Linked DNA regions of Oryctolagus cuniculus. The protein of the gene in region 2 interacts with the protein of the main gene of each other region in a pairwise test. Links are inferred from orthologs where the notes say so. Each region holds a gene or a part of one and is shown on either strand. Other genes may lie near its edges. The genes, in order: DZIP3, ZNF24, MID2, YJU2B and PGBD1.

Region 1 (2,180 bases), on a different chromosome or scaffold from region 2:
AAGTATAATTTTCTATTTTTCAGAGTCAAGGAAAATCAGTACCAAATGGTAATTGTGTTTCACCTAGCCATTCTCCATCACAATCTAACACTGCCCAGCCTCCAAAAGCAGCCTGGAGGCCTCTTAGTTCACAAGATTCTGCCACATGGGAAGGAGCCAATAACTTGGTGAGACTGAAATAATTGATTCTGTACACACTTAGAAATTGTTAAAATAAATAAATAAATAAATTTTAATTGTATAAATTTTCTCCAGGAGGCAGAGGAGGAGGAAGAAGAACCTTGTGTGATCTGTCATGAGAATCTGTCTCCAGAAAACCTTTCAGTTTTGCCTTGTGCTCACAAATTTCACTCTCAGGTAACTCTTTAAACTTGTTCTGTTAATGTTTTATCATTAATCAGCCAAGAGAGATCCGTACTGCATTACTTAAAATCACATACATATATCATTGCCATGTCATGTATTCCACTAGGATAATTCTGTAATTTTGTATACCACACAGAAATATTCATACCTTTTGCCTCTTTATATAGCCTGTGGCAGGCTTTCTTAGATCTCTATTTGCCATCCAGGAGAACAACATAAAGATAACATAAGATGGTACAAAGTAGACGGAATTCCCTTGAATAGAACTAGGAGACATGTTGGTTGGTATGGAATTTTACTGGCAGAACTAGCAGCAGTGCTATTTTACCTTGAAATAATATAAATTACACATAGGATCCTTTGTCTATATCTCATGATGGCTCTCTATCATTATGAAGCATGAGTTACCATAACAGTCTTCTGTGTTTGTAGGTTTGAGATTTGATTTTAGAAAAACATGAGACTGACCTAGGCTTTGTTGATTCTGTGCATTTGTGTAGATTATTTCTTGGTGTTGCTGGCTGTGCACATGTTAACTGATACAAAATTAATGGACTGAGTCTTGTATTGCAGAGATATAAATTGAAGGAGGAAAATGTAATCTACCCAAGAAAGTCTTCTCAGTAAAGTGAACAATAGCATGCTCCTTCAAGCCATAGTAGTAAAACATCATTTCAAAGATATACAATCACAGTAGAATTATATTTTACACATCATCTAATATGAAGAGATGTACAGAAAATGGCTAATCCCAAAATATCTCCAAGGAAAGATACTTAACCACCTGACTTTCCCATTTTGAAGTTTTAGAAGTTCTAGTCATTTAGAAAAAAATGATTTAACAAATTTTTATTGTATTCTTTGCCATTGGCCATTGAACAGAACACACATAATTCATTCAGTTAGTGAACCTTCCTTATAATACTTGATCATTTCTATTTTGACCTTGCTATCCATTATTCATACAGATAAAAATGATATGTGCTTGGAGAGTCAGTATTCAAGCCAATAGTTTAATAGGTAGTTCACAGCCAAAGATTGCTACTGTTTTCATAAAACAATCTGAGAACTATATTTTGGGATTTTTAACTTTAGAACACCACAAGTACTTCATGCCCGGTATTGGTATCTTTTGTGTCTGTAATTATAACTTTTTCTGAATTATAAGTAGGAACAATGTATAAGAAAATAAAGTAGAGAGAATATAACAAATTTCCTCAATCTCTTTACCAGAAAGGATTGCTAGTCTTCCTATAAATTGGGACTGAGGAAAGAATCTTTATAGAATAAAATGGCTGAAATATGTTTAGCAGCTACCAGCTATTTATAACCTCAGCAAACCACAGAGAGGTATCATATTTGTAGAAGTTATCATGGCGGGGCCGGCACTGGGGCACAGTGGGTTAACGCCCTGCCTTGAAGCACTGGCATCCCAAATGGGTGCCGGTTCGAGACTCAGCTGCTCAACTTCGATCCAGCTCTCTGCGATGGCCTGGAAAAGCAGTGCAAGAGGGCCCAAGTCCTTGGGCCCCAGCACCCGTGTGGGAGACCCGGAAGCTCCTGGCTCCTGGTTTATGATCAGCACAGCTTGCGGCCATTTGGGGAGTGACCATTGGATGGAAGACCTCTCTCTCATATTAACAATTATATTGATAATCTTGGTATAGAGTAACATCTGTCTGTTTTAGGCTAAATCTGAGAGACTGACATTAATCTTTTTTCTCCATAGTGCATTAGACCATGGCTGATGCAACAGGGAACATGCCCAACCTGCAGACTCCATGTTTTGCTACCAGAAGAATTCCCTGGTCATC
Region 2 (3,516 bases):
GTGTTTCTCAGTGAGACTTAGAAATAAAAATTTTTCTCAGTACCATGATATATTTCAAACAGAGCGGATGCTTCTATAGAAAACCTTTTTTTTTTTTTTTATAAAGTTGACTTCTAAATTTTTTTTAAAAGGATTTATTTATTTGAAAGGCCGAGTTAGAGAGGGAGAGATATAGAGAGTTTCTATCCGTTGGTTTACTCCCCAGATGGCTATGATAAGTGGGGCTGGGCTGATCCGAAGCCAGGAGCCAGGAGCTTCCTCTGGGTCTCCCACGTGGGTGCAGGGGCTGAAAGATTTGAGCCATCCTCTGCTGCATTTCCAGGCACATTTGTGAGGAGCTGGATTGGAAGTGGAGCAGCAGTGAACTTGAACTGTTACCCGTATGGGTGCTGCAGGCAGTGACTCTACCCACTATACCACAGTGCCAGCCCCTATAGAAAACCTTTTACTTATTCAGGATGTTTTGAAATGTCGTGTCTTGAGTTAACAAAGGAGGCCCCAAGCTTGTCTTTAGCTCTTTTCTGGTCAGGATGCCCATGTTCTGCTTTTAATCTAATCTTTGCTGTGACTTACCTTATTTTACTCATTTTAGAAATAGCTTTTTTCTGTTTTGCTGTTTACATCAGTGATTTCTCCTTTTATCAAAGCGCAAGAACGTTATAACAGTTTCCTAATTTTTTCTTAACAAAGTTTGATCCAGGCCTAACAATATCACTATTCTACCTCACCATCTTAGCATCCACCATCTGTTTGTCCTTTGTTTTCTGACTGCCATTTACAACCTATTTGCTTAAGTTATATCTACAACTTTTACATCATTATGCTATTATCTAACCTCATAATTAGTCATTTCATTTTTTCTGTTTTGATAGTAGGCAACCTGAACACCAATTTTCAGAGTGCATTTATAGGTGTTCCTAACATACTTTTAGTTCATTAAAAAAAAAAGCTTTTCTTTCTTTCGCCCTAAAATAGGATATGAATGATATTTACATTTTCTGTCTATTTCAGATGATGATGCTAGGACTGAAAATGGAGCACTGGCTCCAAAGCAGGAGATCCCTTCGGCAGCAGAATCTCAGGAAGTTCCTGGCACTCTGAATATAGGTGTTCCTCAGATTTTTAAATACGGAGAAACTTGTTTCCCCAAGGGCAGGTTTGAAAGAAAGAGAAATCCCTCTCGGAAGAAACAGCATATATGTGATGAATGTGGAAAACATTTCAGTCAGGGCTCAGCCCTCATTCTTCATCAAAGAATCCACAGTGGGGAGAAACCTTACGGATGTGTTGAGTGTGGGAAAGCCTTCAGCAGAAGCTCCATCCTTGTGCAACACCAGAGAGTCCATACTGGAGAAAAACCTTACAAATGTCTTGAATGCGGGAAAGCCTTTAGCCAGAATTCTGGGCTTATTAATCATCAGAGAATCCATACTGGGGAGAAACCGTATGAATGTGTTCAGTGTGGGAAATCATATAGTCAAAGCTCAAATCTTTTTAGACATCAGAGAAGACACAATGCAGAAAAACTTCTGAATGTTGTGAAAGTTTGAGAAATTAAAAAAAAAAAAAGAATCAGCACTCAGGTCTTTTTCTTCAGAAATGAAGACAAAATTTAAAACATGAAATATTACATAATAGTTTTTTCCCTATTGACTGTCAGAAAATCCACTTGGAAATGTAAAAATATATTTACTCACCATTATTATTTTATCTTGAATGAAATGGTGTCATACCTGCCTAGAAACTGAAAATTTCAGACTAATTCAGGTATTAATACCTAAATTTTCCATGTGATGTTTATATTTTCTATTTCCAAATAATGAACTGCCTGGTTCTTTGTCCCTTTCTTAAAAGTTTCCTTTTTTAGACAGATTGTTTGTGTTGATCATTGAAATGTTCTTTGTAAGAATACATTCCCTTCTACATTAAAAGGCAACATAGAGGAATTTATGAAATCTGAAAACCATCTTAAACTTTTAAGATATCTTTTAAGAATTTGCCTTTCTGTTTCTTTTTACCTAATTCGAATATGCATTTAAGAAAATAGAAGATAAAAGATGACTAAAAACTTCAAAGTAAAATGAGCCTTAAGATCTCAGGTAAGAAGTGATGTTGATAAAACATCAAAAGTGAATGGGACATCTAGATTGGGGAAGATAATGCAAATACTTTGATAAGTTTATCTAAATGCAGTCATTCACCTGTAGGAAACTCGAACTACTCATCGTGTCTGTAATTTGGAAACATCTAATTAATGAATATAAGTGTTGTTCTAGGTATTACTGAAAGGTAGATAGTCTAAACGATAAATAATTGTAAAACTATAAAGGTAGAAAATACAACACTTGGGAAGAATTTGTAATAAATGCAGTGTTGAAGGGCAAATATGAACATAAAGGTAATGGTCTCTTTGGGCTGTTTTGCCTTCATCTTTGTTAAGGATAAAATTCCCTGACAAGTGGGCAACTAACAATCAGGTTTGCTATTTTTATTTCTTTGGTATAACAGAGTTGCACACCAGGCTAAAGAAGCAGCCCTGCATTTATTACACATTGTCTACAGACGAGGCACTGTGCTAGGTACTGTAATCCTACTTAGGTAGGTAGGTGTTTCTTCCACTGTAAATTGTTACGGGGTTTGGTACAAAGTTGTTGGGTGTGAGTTAGCCCCTTCCCCATGTCTGAACATTCCTCGGGGAGGTCACCTCTGATTTCCAGAGCCAGTGTGCTCTCACCAGGGTGTTGTATTGGGGTAGGACTCTACTTAAGAGCTAGCCGCCAGCTCTCCCACATATTTCAGAGGTGAGCCCAAGATAATTCTCTTAAAATAGTTTGGAGATTTGTAAATCTTAAACTAACCAATCTCAAGTAGCATTGGAGTTGTTACATATATGTTAAGTTGAATGGACTGTGTCTGTTTAAGAAATAAACAACTAGACTATTAACAGCTAGTTTATTAACTACCAGAATTGATCAATTTTTTAAAAAATTTTCAGTCTTAACATTTAAAAAAATGTATTAAAGTAATACATTGTAGTAGTAGGATTATTTACTCCTTGGCTGATAATCCCAAGTACTGTGGTTCTACTGTTTAGTGGAAAACTCTGGAAGTTGAAATATAGAATATGAGAAAAGGCTTTTTTTTATATATATATGATGGGCTTCATTGTGTGGAGAATGATCCATGTGAATACAAATATTACATAGTTCCAGAGATTCTGGATATATCTGGTACTTGGATCAAATTTAAAAATGGAAGGTGAGAGTTGCATGAGCCTATTAAAAAGCATAGTAATAAACTCAAGGCCAGTTGATGGAGATATGAGGCAGAATGGAGCTTGTTTATAGATTTTCTGATAATTATAAGAAATGTGCTTTATAGATTAAGATTTATTGAAGTATAAATATGTAGTATGATATAATGTATTTTAAGTTATACAAGAAATGTAGGGACTTTTGTTTGGGTCTTTTTCTCTTCGTGGCTGAGAGGAAACAAGTCAATGTCCAATAAAGCTAT
Region 3 (4,169 bases), on a different chromosome or scaffold from region 2:
AAAGTGGAAAGAGAAACATATCTTGATCTTTGGAGCAGAGGGATTTTTTTTTCTAAAGGAAGTCTGCACAGGGGAATGATTGCAGTTGAGATTTCTCATCTCAATGCCACTCATCTGGCCTTCTCACTTATTAGGTGACCCAATGCACTGATTGAGAAACACTTTTCTAGTCTTCTCTGTACATTGCTCAATGATTTACACAATTTTTTGAGAAACCTGAAATACACTAATTAGACACCACTCTGTTACCAAAATTTCATGCACTGACAAGTAAATGGATTTGAACTCTAAACTTTTGAATATCCAGAATGAACATGTAACACCTCATATTTTGATGACACAGTGCTGCAAGTCAAAATATTCAGCTTAAATAAGCAGGCACTTCATAAACAGAAAGCCTCATTTTCCCCACTGAGAGGAACAAAATGTAATTGCTAATCAGAAATAGAGCACCCCCTTAACCACCAGTCACATTCCATGACCTAACACCTAGGAAGTTACCAAGATCCATAAAGACAGATCCACATGAGACATGTTCTGGGGGTACCACCAGAACAGCCATTTGAAACATATTCTGTGCCTCAGCTCTATCTTCACCGTTTCCATGGCTCTATGTCCCTACTGAAAAACAGAACTTGAGTTCTAAGGGATAAAATGAAAAGATAGCATTCCCTCCTCTTTCCCAAGCCAATGAGGTTTGCTGAGTGATAAAGATATACTCTTGTAGTTTCCATTCTCAACTGCTGTAGTGTCAGCAGATTTTATGGGGGGAGGGATGAGGGAATGGACAAGCTCACTACCCAGAGCAGTATCTGGATACAATTATGAGACTCCACTGGCACTACTTTAGGACCAGCAAGTTGGAGCAAGTTACCCTGCTCTTAGAGAAGGGATTACCTAAACCAATTTCATCTAAATCTATTTGCACTGTTCCGATACACTCAAGAAGCAACCAAGTCACTTTGAATTGCAGCAGCACTCTCTGGAGGAGGCCTTGTAAGGTACAACAGGCTAGATGGGAATTCTAGTAGTCACAAAAGTAAATAGGAGGGACAGAAGTAGCCCTTCCTGTACCTAGCCGCTATCTCTACCCTGCACAGCCCCTCCCTGTACTAATCCTGGAGCTGCAGGTATGGAGTTAGGCCTGGAACAAGCAGGAGGCCAAAATGCTGTGCCAAGTCTGGGGTCTCAGCCCAGTCAGCAAAGGACTATTCACAATAAAGGTGCTTAATAAATATTGTTGACTCATTGCTGCTAGCTGCTAATGATGCTTATAGAGCTATGCCTAAATTACTGTCAGTTTTCATTAGAAATTAACTAACTGTCACCCAAGTAGGCTAAAAAGGGGCAAGATTAGATTTTCAAAGGAGTCTGACTCAAATTGTGAGGTTAGAGTACATTAGATATGATTTAAGCACTTATATGATTTATACCATTATCTGTGTGCCAAATTGTATGTAAGTTTTTATTCAATTGTACACACATTGGGGAGAAACAGACTTAGGGTGTAAGTATAACAAATTTGGCTTCCAAAGGGTTAACAATGGCAAATTAAGGTTTCCCATAAACTAGGGTTCTTACTAATGCCCAATCCACTAACCCAATAAAAGGTAAATGAAGTGCTTTCTTTGAAAAGTATAATGCTGAGGATTTATAGAACTCTTTCATCTTCAAAGGACCAAGGCAAAACTCACAATACCCAACACACAATATTATGCCTTTTACAGAAGTGCACCAACTATGAAAGAAAGGTCATAGGCATGTGCTAAGGTCATACAGCCAAGGCAACATCAGATTTGTCATGAACTCCCTGATCTTCAGGTTTCCTAGACCTCACAAAAATCAATTTGTGAGGAACAATTAGGAGAAATCTAATTCACATTATGTGTCGGCATTAAAATAATTCATTGGGCAGGAATAAATAAAAATAGCAACTGTTAGGCCTTCAGGGCAGTGATGAGTGGAGAGGAGGTAGAAAGGGGAGAATGTGTGGAAGCGGGAATAACCATCTGGATAGAATGAAATTGCCCCCCAAAACGAAAAAAAAGTAGGGGAGGGGACCTCCCTGTTCAACAACCCCCTCTATTGGGAAAATTGCCACAGAACTGATCGGAGTACTGGGAGCAAACAGAAAAAGGGTTAAAGGCAGCCCTTATAACCCAACTTGAGATCAGACTAAGCAACCCACGCACAGTACTTGTCTATTACACAATTTCCAATACACTGTATTCCTTTAAAAGGGATCCTCCTTAAAGACACACAACCATCGCCATCCACCAGCCCCACATTCTGAAATCCTCCAAAGGGCAAAGTGGTTGAAAAAGCAAGAGGCTGCGTGGCTGGGGAGTGCACAGATTGATGGGGACAGGGTGAGCACGGAAGTGCCGGAAGGGCCATGGGGGGAGATCTCGATGGGGCAGAAATTTAGGTATTTTCGCCATAGGAAGAAGGTGAGTGATCCTGAAGGTGGTATGGAAGTGCGGAAGAAAGAGGGAAAGTGCTGAGCCCTACCACCCTAGGATCCCAATTTCCTGCTCTACAAGAAACGCCTCCGAAAAATAATGTGCTGCACACGAAGTGCTAACTAACCGAAACCAGCAATGTTTCTGTAAATCGACTCCGCCGTTATTTACTTAATACTTACGAGCAAGGAATGAAAAAAAAAAAAAAACACACACCTCTCCCTGATTCAGTCGCAGTCAGTCCTGTGGACATACGTTAAGTTTCCCCTCTCCCCCACACAGCTGCTTTCACAGCTAGGCCAGAAATAAGAAGCCACCCAGACGTGGAGGATCGCTCCGGCGGCAGAAAAGGGATTAAGTTTCGCCTGGCCTCCCCGCCGGCAGGGTGTCCGCGGCATCGCCCGCTGGCTGCTGGGCCAGCCCCGCCAGACACGGGCGCCTCCCGGGCCGACTAGGCTGCCGACCGCGGAAGCGTGGGAAGGCAGTAGTGCCCTTTTCCCAGACTCGCGCCCAGGCACCGAGGGAACGGCTCGACTGCCAGCGCCCAGCCCGGCGCGGCTCCGCTGGAGGCCTCGGGCCGCCCCCGCACCGCACCCTGGAGTACAAACTCCGTCCGGGGGAGGGGAGGAGGGGTGGGCGGCAGCGGCAGCAGCCCGTGCCCCAACGGCGGACCGGGGAGCCAGAGCCGGACCGGGATCCCGCCGCCGCTGCCTCCAGCCTCACGGGCCCCGTCACTCCACCCTGCCGAGCCCCGGAGCCCTCGGCCAGCGCCGGGCCCGGCGGCACCTGAAGAGCGGCCGCAGCCAGGGCCGAGACCTGAGTGGGCGAGGACACTAGACCCTTAGGGCCGCGGCGAGGGGGCGCGTTTTACCCATAGCGTTCCCAGGTGCCAGCCATCTCCTCCGCGCGCCAGAGAGCGCCGGGCGCTCGCTTGCCTCCGCAGCGAGCTGACTCGGGCTCCAGCGCAAGCTCCCGGGCCGCCGTCGCTGCCGCCGCCACCACCACTCTAGGCCGCCGCCCGCCTTCGCTGCCGCCTTCGCTGCTGCTGCCGCTGCCGCCGCCGCCGCCGCCGCCGCGCAGCAGCCAGGATCCAGCAGCTCGCGCGGCCCGCAGGGGACGGCCCGGTTGTCGCCTCGCTATCGCGGCCGGCTCTCCCCGGCTGAACTTAAAGAGTTTTCACTCCTCAGTCCAGGGGCAGCACCATGACACCACGCTAGCACCACATTGTCATTTCCGCCGCCGCAGAGGAAAAAAAAAAAAGGCAATCCTTTCGCAAAGGGGGGTGGGGGTGGAGAGGGGCAAACAGGGCTGGGGCTAACACCTCAAGGGAGCACTGGGAAGGGCCCCGGCAGAAGGGACCCTGGGCCACCTTCCAGGGCTCACCTTCCGCCACCCCCGCCACTCCCAGCTCCCCTAGCCCCTCCTCTGGAGGCGCATTACATGTTTTCTCCCCTGGCAGGAGTGACCAGAGAAACCTGAGCAGGCAAAGGCAGCCGGTGGGTGGGGTTCGGGTTACTACTGTACCTACCAGCTGATTCCAGCAGCCTTTTCTCCAGCGCCCTGGCATCTTGAAGGAAGGCACACGGAGAGGGGCCTGAGCGGGCGTGTGTGTGTGTGTGTGTGTGTGAGAGAGAGAGAGAGAGAGAGAGAGAGAGAGAGAGAGAGGAGAGAGCGCGCACAGAATGGAAATGCAGAAACAAGGCTATA
Region 4 (4,010 bases), on a different chromosome or scaffold from region 2:
TGGGCTGAGTCCCCTGCGTGGCCGAGTCCCCCCCGCGTGGGCTGAGTCCCCCGCGTGGCCCGAGTCCCCTGAGTGGCTGAATCCCCTGCGTGGCTGAGTGCCCTGCATGGCTGAGTCCCCTGCGTGGCCGAGTCCCCCCTGCGTGGCCGAATCCCCCTGCGTGGCTGAGTCCCCCCTGAGTGGCTGAGTCCCTGCGTGGCTGAGTCCCCTGCGTGGGCTGAGTCCCCCCTGACTCACTCTGAGACACTAAGCACAGACGCCGTCCAGAGCCACCCGGAGCGCCCAGGCCACAGAGGAAACGGGGAGGGGAAGCGCCCTGTCCAGCGGGGCGCCCTGAGCGCTCGTGTTCCAGCGAGCGCTGTGCGTGGACCCAGGCCGGCCTCCGCCTGTGGTGATGGACGGAAACTTGGCTTCGGGCCAACCAATCATAGAACGCGTTTGAGAAGCTCCACCCATCGTGGGCGTTCTGGCCCGTCCCGGTTGCCTTGACAACCGGGCCAGGCGTCCGGGCGGGGCCTCGCGCGTGCTTGCGCATGCGTTTTGAGGTGCGCTTCCTGCCCCACCATCGGCGTTCAGGCCCCGCCCTGTTGCCTTAACAACCGCGCCGGCGTCAGGGCCGCGCGTGTTTGCGCATGCTTTTGCGGTGCACCGCCTGCACCCACAGTCGGCATCCTGGCCCCGCCCCGGTTGCCTTGACAACCTGCCCAGGCGTCCGGGCGGGGCCTCGCGCGTGCTTGCGCATGCGCTTTGCGGTGTGCCGCCTGCGTCCGAGGCTGGACCCGGTTCCCCGTTCGTAGAAGTGGAAGATGCACAGCTGCCCCGTAGAGGGCCCGGCCAGGCGGGGTCCCAGGGCACCCCGTCTTTCCTGCTGGCGCAGACACCTGCCGCCCAGCTCATTGCGGCGAGGGTGGACCGGGCGCCGGCCACCGCCCCGTCGGCGCCACCCACACGTCTCCGACGCCGACAGGCCGGAGCCTGGGCAGCCCACAGCCAGGCGCGTGCGCACACACGCTCGAAGCCAGCGCCTGTGCAGCTCACACACCCATCACTCAGCGGCGGCAGCGCAGGACGCGGCGTTTCCGGGAGGGCGGCATCAGAAAGCAGGCCTCCGATTGGGCCTCGCGCGGAGTGGGCGGGGAAAGGGGGTGTGGCTCCGTGGGGGCGGGGAATACTCGTTCTGCTCCATTCCGGTGCTTGTGAGTGCGCGGGCTGTGGACTCTCAGCCAATCAGCGCGGCGCTGCTGCTTCGCCCCGCCCCCGCCCCGCTCCGGCGCCTGCGCAAGGGGGTCAAGTCGCCGCGATCCAGGGCGCGCTTCCGGGACCGTCGCGGCGTGACGTCAGAGGAGGGCAGGTAAGTGCGGGCTCTTGGGGTCAGGGGCCACCCGGCTCCTGGGCGGACACGGAATGGGAGGGGTGCGGGGCCCGGCGGGCGACCCAGGTCCCCCGGGCCCCCGCTGCGACCCCCGACTTAACCCTGGGCCCCTATGACGTCTGATGCGGGCCCTTGTCTTCCTTGGAAGGGAGCCCTTGCCTTTAAGCCCAATGACGCTGTAAAATGATGCTCGGAAAACCAAATTAAGATTGATTTGCTTTTTTGAAAGACAGAGTTGCAGAGAGAGGTAGAGGCAGAGAGAGAGAGGTCTTCCATCTGCTGGTTCACTCCCCAGATGGCCGCAACGGCCAGAGCTGGGCTGATCAGGAGCCGGGAGCTGCATCCGGGTCTCCCACGCAGGTGCAGGGACCTAAGCACTTGGGCCATCTTCCACTGCTTTCTCAGGCCAATAGCAGAGAGCCGGATGGGAAGTGGAGCAGCCGGGACTCGAACCGGCGCCCACATGGGATGCCAGCGCAGCAGGCGTTGGCTCAACCTAACATGCCGCGATGCTGGCCCCTGGATTCCAAGTGTTTTTGCACCAGAATAAACATAACCTTTAATCCCGTGCTCCAGGAAGCTCGCTCGTGTAGCCCGCTGTGGAGTTGACCCTTCCCTCCCTCCCTCCCTCCCTCCCTAGGAGATGCACGCGGCTCCTCGGATGCCTCCCCCATCGGGCCCGAGACTCCTCTGAACTGGCTCCGCCGCACGGCCCGCGAGATCCTCCCCGGGAAGCCGTGGCCCCTGTGCCAGGCTCGAGAAAGCACGTTGTGGGTCGGCCACCTTGAAGGCCAAGGCCAGTAGGCAGCCACCAAGATGGTGAGTGGAGGGAAGGCCGGGCGCTCCCTGGGTTCCTGGCTCCGTCTCTGTCGGGCCTGCCGGGAGTCCCGCTCCTCCGGCCCCACCCCCCACCCCCCCAAGTCGGCGTCTGCCAAGGTCACGGCCACTCTGGCCAGCTCTCAGCCTGGACGTCTTGCTGCAGATTCCGAAGCTTTGCAGCGCGCCCAGATCTCCCGGGAAGGGGTGGAGGCAGCAGTGTTTATGTAGTTGAGAGGTCTTCCATCTGCTGGTTCCCTCCCCAAATGGCCGCAACGGCCGGAGCTGGGCCAGACCGAAGCCAGGAGCCTGGAGCTTCTTCCAGGTCTCCCATGCAGGTGCAGGGGCCCAAGCACTTGGGCCATATTCTGCTGCTTTCCCAGGTGCATTAGCAGGGAGCTGGATCAGAAGTGGAGCAGCCGGGACTCGAACCAGGCACACAGACAGGCAGGGGGTGCAGCATCCCCCAAGCACTGCCCCAGACACCCACCTTCCCCCAGAATGGGTCTGAACACTCGTGACCCCACCCCCCCCAGCATCATTGCCCGCAACACGGGGCAGGGTGGTCCCTGACCTGGCCGGGATTCAGCGCTGCTGAGCGGTGACGGGCGTTAAACCCATTTTGACTGAAAATAATTTCCATTTCTGAGAGCTTTAGAGCGACGTGTCTCCATCCTAGGCCAAGGAGCTCCTGTACACCGTGGAGCCAGGCGCTTTGGCGCCTGGTAGGCGGTGGGGGCGCCGGCCGGAGAGGGTGGGCAGGACCCCATGGGGAGCCCAGGGAGGGCTCCCCATTCACGATTCCAAGTCTGGCTGCTACCAGGTGCCCTCGGCTCCATGAGCGGCGTCTGAACTTCCCCTTGGACTTGTCCAAAGCGGTGACACTGACCTTGGGTTTTTTCCCACCCCTGGCTCTGGCCCTCAGCCAGATCAGAGCCCCTGGACCGGACAGAGGCAACCCCCTCCCCCTCTGTGACCACAGGGTCCACGGCCGCGGATTCAGCCAATCACAACACAGGGATATTTTAGGGGTGGGGGGTCAGACGGGCCAGCAGCACTGACTGCGTAGGAGATGACTCTGGCGCGAAGACAGACGCCCCCACCCCCACCCCCCCATCCCCGGAGGCCGCGTGCACCTGCCGGTCTCCCGGAGGCGGGCTCTGAGTCACTTCTTTCTCCTCTGTCCTCCAGGGGGAACGGAAAGGCGTCAACAAGTACTACCCGCCCGATTTCAACCCCGAGAAGGTAAGGGGCGGCTTCCTGCCTTCCCGGGTGTCTGGAGTGGGGGTGGGGGGCTGCAGTGGCCATGCTGGAGACATCCCCTGCGTGCCCAGTGCCAGGCTCAGCATGTACACAGCAGAGCTTAGGATGCGGTAGGGTGCGGGGGTGGGGCTCCCATGGCGACCTTGTCGCCCCCTCTGCCTCCCTCTAGGTCGTTCCACACAGAGGTCCTGCCCCCCCCCACCCCCACCCCATCACCTTCTGGTTCTCTGTTGCCTCTCTGCATGCCTTAAACCCCGCCCACGGTGGCCAGGAGTGGCTGGGTCTGGGTCTCCCTCGTAGAGGAGGGATTAGGGCAGGCCACAGTTCCTCCCCCACCCCCGCCCCATGTCAAGAGGGCAAATAAAATGACCCCAGGATGGGGATCTGGCTCATGGTGCCCCCCGACCCCTGCCCCCAAAACTTGGAGGTCCAAAGGCCCGTTAGCCCCAGCTAATAGATAAACGGGGAAACTGAGGCGCGGAGGCCAAGGTCACACAGCTTCTTCCAGCTGCCAGTTGGGGAGGCGAGAAAGGTTGGCCCTCACCCATGGGGTCCCCAC
Region 5 (4,182 bases), on a different chromosome or scaffold from region 2:
GTCATTTATAATTCTGACTCTATGACAAGGCATGTTCACCTCTGCTAATTTTTCCACTAGAGTCTCCTTTTATTCTTAAAGAGCAGTGTCCTTGAAAATTTAATAGGGAATTGTATTTTTAAATTTTATTTTTAAATTTTAATTTTAGTTTGAGAGACAGTAAGAGACAGGCAGAGAAAGAGCTTCCATCTGCTGGTTCATTCTACAACATGCCTGCAACAGCCAGAGCTGGGGCAGATTGAAAGCAGAAATTTAGAACTCTGAGTCTCTCATGTGGGTAGCAGGTACCCTAGTTCTGCTGCCTCCCAAGTGCGTATCAGTAGGAACCTGGAATCAGAAAAGAAGCCAAGGCTCAAACCCAGATTTTCCGATGTGGAATGTGGGCATCTTAACTGCTGTGCTAAACACCTGCCCCTGTATACCAAAATTTCAAATGCACACGCCCTTTGAACAGGTGCACTGGTGCAATTGTTTATCCTAGAAATGAATTCACAAAAGAATGTACACATGGAATGCTGATGCCTACAGAATAGCTTGTACATCAACAGGGATATTAAATAAGTTAAGGTACACCCATAGAGTGGAATACTATTTAGCTGTTAAAGAATAAGTTGTGGGGGCTGGCGCTGTGGGGCAGCAGGTAAAAGCTGCAGCTTGCTCTGCCGGGATCCAGTGTCGTCACTGGTTCGAGTCCCGGCTACTCCACTTCCAATCCAGATCCCTGCTAATGCGCCTGGGAAAGCAGCAGAGGATGACCCAAGTGCTTAGGGAGACCCAGGTGAAGCTCCTGGTTCCTGGTTCCTGGTCTGGCCCAGTCTTGGCCATAGCGGCCATCTGGGGAGTGAACCAGTAGATGGAAGATCCGTCTCTCATCTCTCTGTGTTAACTCTGCCTTTCAAATAAATAAATGTTAAAAAAAAAAAAAAAAGAATAAGTTGTGTGGGCTGCAAAATTAAATTGTGATCCCGTTAAGCGTTTTAAAATACATATACACGAGTACTTTTTCACCAAACAAGAGGTTTATTAAATGCTATACACAAAACATTGACAGTAGTTAGCTCTGGGGAATGAGGCACTTTTGATTTTACCATCTTTGCACAAATTGATTCTTTACATATATAATCTGCATAAAATAATCTGTACAGTTTGCTGACCTGAACTATTGGTTGATCTTCCATTTCTGTGAAGACTCCCGAAGAGTGAGATTCGTCTTTGTGTTTGCTATTCTGTCGCGTTTTAACTGAAAGCCCCTCCGTAAACGTGTGACGCGCTCGGGCCGTGCAGGTGCCCCGGGCATCGCGCGTTGGCCCGAGGCCCGCGCGGGCGGGCGTGGGGCGGCGCTCCGCCCGACGCACCACAGAGAGGAGCGGCCGCGCTCCTAGAGAGGCGCGAGCCGCCGGAAGCTGCGCGTTGAGCGCCGGCACCGGGAGACCGGAGACCGTTGACTCTTAGCTCTGGGTGTGAGACGCGCTCTCGGCCCTTGTCCTCGTCGCAGGGAGCCCCGGGGAGACTCACCCGCCCAGCGAGACGCCGCGGCCCGGCCTCTGGGGAGACTGGCCGGCACCTCCCAGGCCTCCGCGTTCCGGTGGGAACGAGCCTTTCGCGAGGTCGGCTACATCTTTGTTGTGTACAGTTCCTAAACTTTAATGGTCTTTTAACCAGCAGTGAAACACACACGCTTATTGAGTGTCTACCGTGTGCCAGGCGCTATGCGAGGTGCAGGGGTGCAATCTTAGATACAGCCCGCCCCCTCCGCCCGAGGGTGCCCTGGCTACTGGCATCTCGGGTACATCTGCGTGCCTTCGTCAAGAAGTCCAGCAGTGTTTGTTGACTACCAGGTACGTGCCGGGCTCTTGGAGTATATAAGCTCCTGTGTTTAGGAGCATGTCGGGGTGAAGTGAAATGGAGAGAGGGGCGTGGCTTCAGGTTTGTATGGTACACCCCACCTCCACCTGCGTGGCCTAGAGACAGAATAGTTTTCCCGGTCTGTACTTAGTTGGCATTTGCCCTGGGCGTTGGGAGTTTACCATTGGAAGCACAGTGGTGGTGTAAAGGACAGAAGATGGAGACTTGTTGAGTAGCCAGCATGGCAGTGACTTTCGTGAAGGTAGAGGTGAATTTAAATGAGGACTTAGCTGTATGTCTGAAAATAATGAGGCACTCGAAAAGTTGAGATAAATTGAACCTGGGGGATTGAATTTCATCCAAGGAGAAGTATTCAGACGTTCTTTGAGAAGGTTGGTAGGAAAAGCAAACCTTGCAGTCATGCGACAGCAGTCAACATGGAAGCCTTCCTGCTTGACGTTTGCACTGACAGGTAATCAAGCAGTGAGTTCTGCGGCAGACACCAGCTGAGTGTGTGTCCTCTAATTCAAGTCGCATGTGACATGTTCTACCTGGAGAGAGTGACATCCCACGGGTTGAGGGCTCAGTCCCAGAGGACTGCGCCCCACTTCCTTATGTCAACCATAAGCACCAGGTGGTTTTTCTTGTGCTTCTGACGGACTGGCTGTAAACCGTGTTTCCATTACCCTCTCTTTGGATTTGGTTCATTTCCTAGGGTGGCTCACAGAACTCAGGAAAGCATACAGTGTTTACTGGTATATTGCAAAGGGTTTTCCCAGTGATGTGGATGAAGAGTTGCACAGGGCAAAGTATGCGAGAAGGGGCATGGGGCATCCACACCACTCTCCACATGTTCTGCTGTCCAGCAGGTCCCCAAATCCTCTCCTTGTGGGTTGAGGAGCCTTCATTACAGAGATTAAGTCATTGGCTGTTGGCCGTCAACTCAACCTTCAGCCCGTCTCCACTCCCCTGAGGCTGGAGCTGGAAGTCCTAGCACACTAATGTTGCCTCAGTCTGTCTGCTGACCACCCCCATCCTGAAGCTACTCAGGAGCTTCCAGCTGTCAGTTGATCCTAAGCATACAAAGAGACATCCTCACTTCCAAGATTTCACGGATTTGAGGACAAATACCAAGTAAATATTTCATAGTGTCACAGGAGGTGTGTTGAATGTTGTCAGAATTGTGCATTGAGAAACTGCTAATCCTGTGACCATATAGAGAAGGGACTCAAGCAGGTCTATCACACAGAAAATTATTAGTCCTAGTTAATTAAACTGATAGTAGGATAAAAGGAAAGAACAGCTGCAAGAGGCGTTCTGTAGAAAGACTTGACTGATTTTAATCCTAAATGCATGGAAGATGGCAGTGATATGAATAGAAATGGACAAATACATGGTGAAATACAGCCTTGAGGGGATTTCAGTTTGGGATCTATTGAAATTATAGTGCAGGAGAATCCTATAGCTGGAGGTATCCTGCTGGCATTTCAAGTTGTAGGTCAGGGAAGTAAAAGGTCAGTTAGAACCAGACAGAGATTTGGGTGGTTTTGGAAGAGATAGATATTGACATTGTGATAGAGATCACAAAAGGAGAAAGCAAGGAGAGAGAAAAAAGGAACTTGACGCGTGTGTACTGTTTCAGTTATCTTAAAGGAAACCCTAAATTTAGTGACTTAAAACAGTTTCTCAGGATCTGTAGGCTGAGTGGTCAATTGTACTGCTGGTCTCACTTGGGAGTCACTCATATACAAGGTTTTCAAAAAGAATGCAAATGCATATTATGAAAAAACTGTGCATAGGTAAAATTTTTGCAGCAAAATAAACTTAATTTTTATATTTTTAAAACATTTATTTATTTATTTGAAAGGCAGAGTTACAGAGAAGCAGAGAAAGAGAGAGACAGAAAAAGATAGTCAGATAGCCACAGTGGCCGGAGCTGAACTGATCCGAAGCCAGGAGCTAGGAGCTTCTTCCAGGTCTCCCACGTGGGTGCAGGGGCCCAAGGACTTGGGCCGTCTTCTCCTCTCCCCGGCCATAGCAGAGAGCTAGATTGGAAGTGGAGCAGCCAGGACTCGAACCACCACCCATATGGGATGCCAGCACTGCAGGTGGTGGCTTTACTCGCTATGCCACAGCGCCAGCCTCAATTTTATTTTGAAAGTCAGAGTTAAAAGAGGAAGAGAGAGAGATCTTCCATCCTCTGGTTCACTCCCCAAATGACTGTAGTGGCCCAGGCTGGCCAAGCCAACGCCAGGAGTCAGGAGCTTCATCTGGGTCTCCCATGTGGGTGACAGGTCCCAAACACTTGGGCCATTCTCTGCTGCCTTTCCCAGGCCA

Evidence for each region.
Region 1: the proteins of ZNF24 (region 2) and DZIP3 interact in binary tests that used the Homo sapiens proteins (3 or more experiments, as listed by UniProt). The link is inferred for Oryctolagus cuniculus from reciprocal best matches to the Homo sapiens genes ZNF24 and DZIP3.
Region 3: the proteins of ZNF24 (region 2) and MID2 interact in binary tests that used the Homo sapiens proteins (3 or more experiments, as listed by UniProt). The two-hybrid records come from large-scale screens. The link is inferred for Oryctolagus cuniculus from reciprocal best matches to the Homo sapiens genes ZNF24 and MID2.
Region 4: the proteins of ZNF24 (region 2) and YJU2B interact in binary tests that used the Homo sapiens proteins (3 or more experiments, as listed by UniProt). The two-hybrid records come from large-scale screens. The link is inferred for Oryctolagus cuniculus from reciprocal best matches to the Homo sapiens genes ZNF24 and YJU2B.
Region 5: the proteins of ZNF24 (region 2) and PGBD1 interact in binary tests that used the Homo sapiens proteins (3 or more experiments, as listed by UniProt). The two-hybrid records come from large-scale screens. The link is inferred for Oryctolagus cuniculus from reciprocal best matches to the Homo sapiens genes ZNF24 and PGBD1.

Annotation. Positions count from the first base shown.
Region 1 is NC_091435.1:64,435,400-64,437,579, forward strand, and holds part of DZIP3 (E3 ubiquitin-protein ligase DZIP3), read left to right. Parts: intron 1-23; coding exon 24-167; intron 168-255; coding exon 256-357; intron 358-2,095; coding exon 2,096-2,180. UniProt on the Homo sapiens protein: E3 Ubiquitin ligase proteins mediate ubiquitination and subsequent proteasomal degradation of target proteins.
Region 2 is NC_091441.1:42,258,293-42,261,808, forward strand, and holds part of ZNF24 (zinc finger protein 24), read left to right. Parts: intron 1-1,011; coding exon 1,012-1,550; 3' UTR 1,551-3,516. UniProt on the Homo sapiens protein: Transcription factor required for myelination of differentiated oligodendrocytes. Required for the conversion of oligodendrocytes from the premyelinating to the myelinating state.
Region 3 is NC_091453.1:85,475,295-85,479,463, forward strand, and holds the start of MID2 (probable E3 ubiquitin-protein ligase MID2), read right to left. Parts: upstream 2,809-4,169; 5' UTR 2,716-2,808; coding exon 2,679-2,715; intron 1-2,678. UniProt on the Homo sapiens protein: E3 ubiquitin ligase that plays a role in microtubule stabilization. Mediates the 'Lys-48'-linked polyubiquitination of LRRK2 to drive its localization to microtubules and its proteasomal degradation in neurons.
Region 4 is NC_091447.1:62,806,135-62,810,144, forward strand, and holds the start of YJU2B (probable splicing factor YJU2B), read left to right. Parts: upstream 1-1,194; 5' UTR 1,195-1,351; intron 1,352-2,012; 5' UTR 2,013-2,188; coding exon 2,189-2,191; intron 2,192-3,379; coding exon 3,380-3,433; intron 3,434-4,010. UniProt on the Homo sapiens protein: May be involved in mRNA splicing.
Region 5 is NC_091436.1:153,741,310-153,745,491, forward strand, and holds the start of PGBD1 (piggyBac transposable element-derived protein 1), read left to right. Parts: upstream 1-1,377; 5' UTR 1,378-1,607; exon of another isoform or gene 1,608-4,182.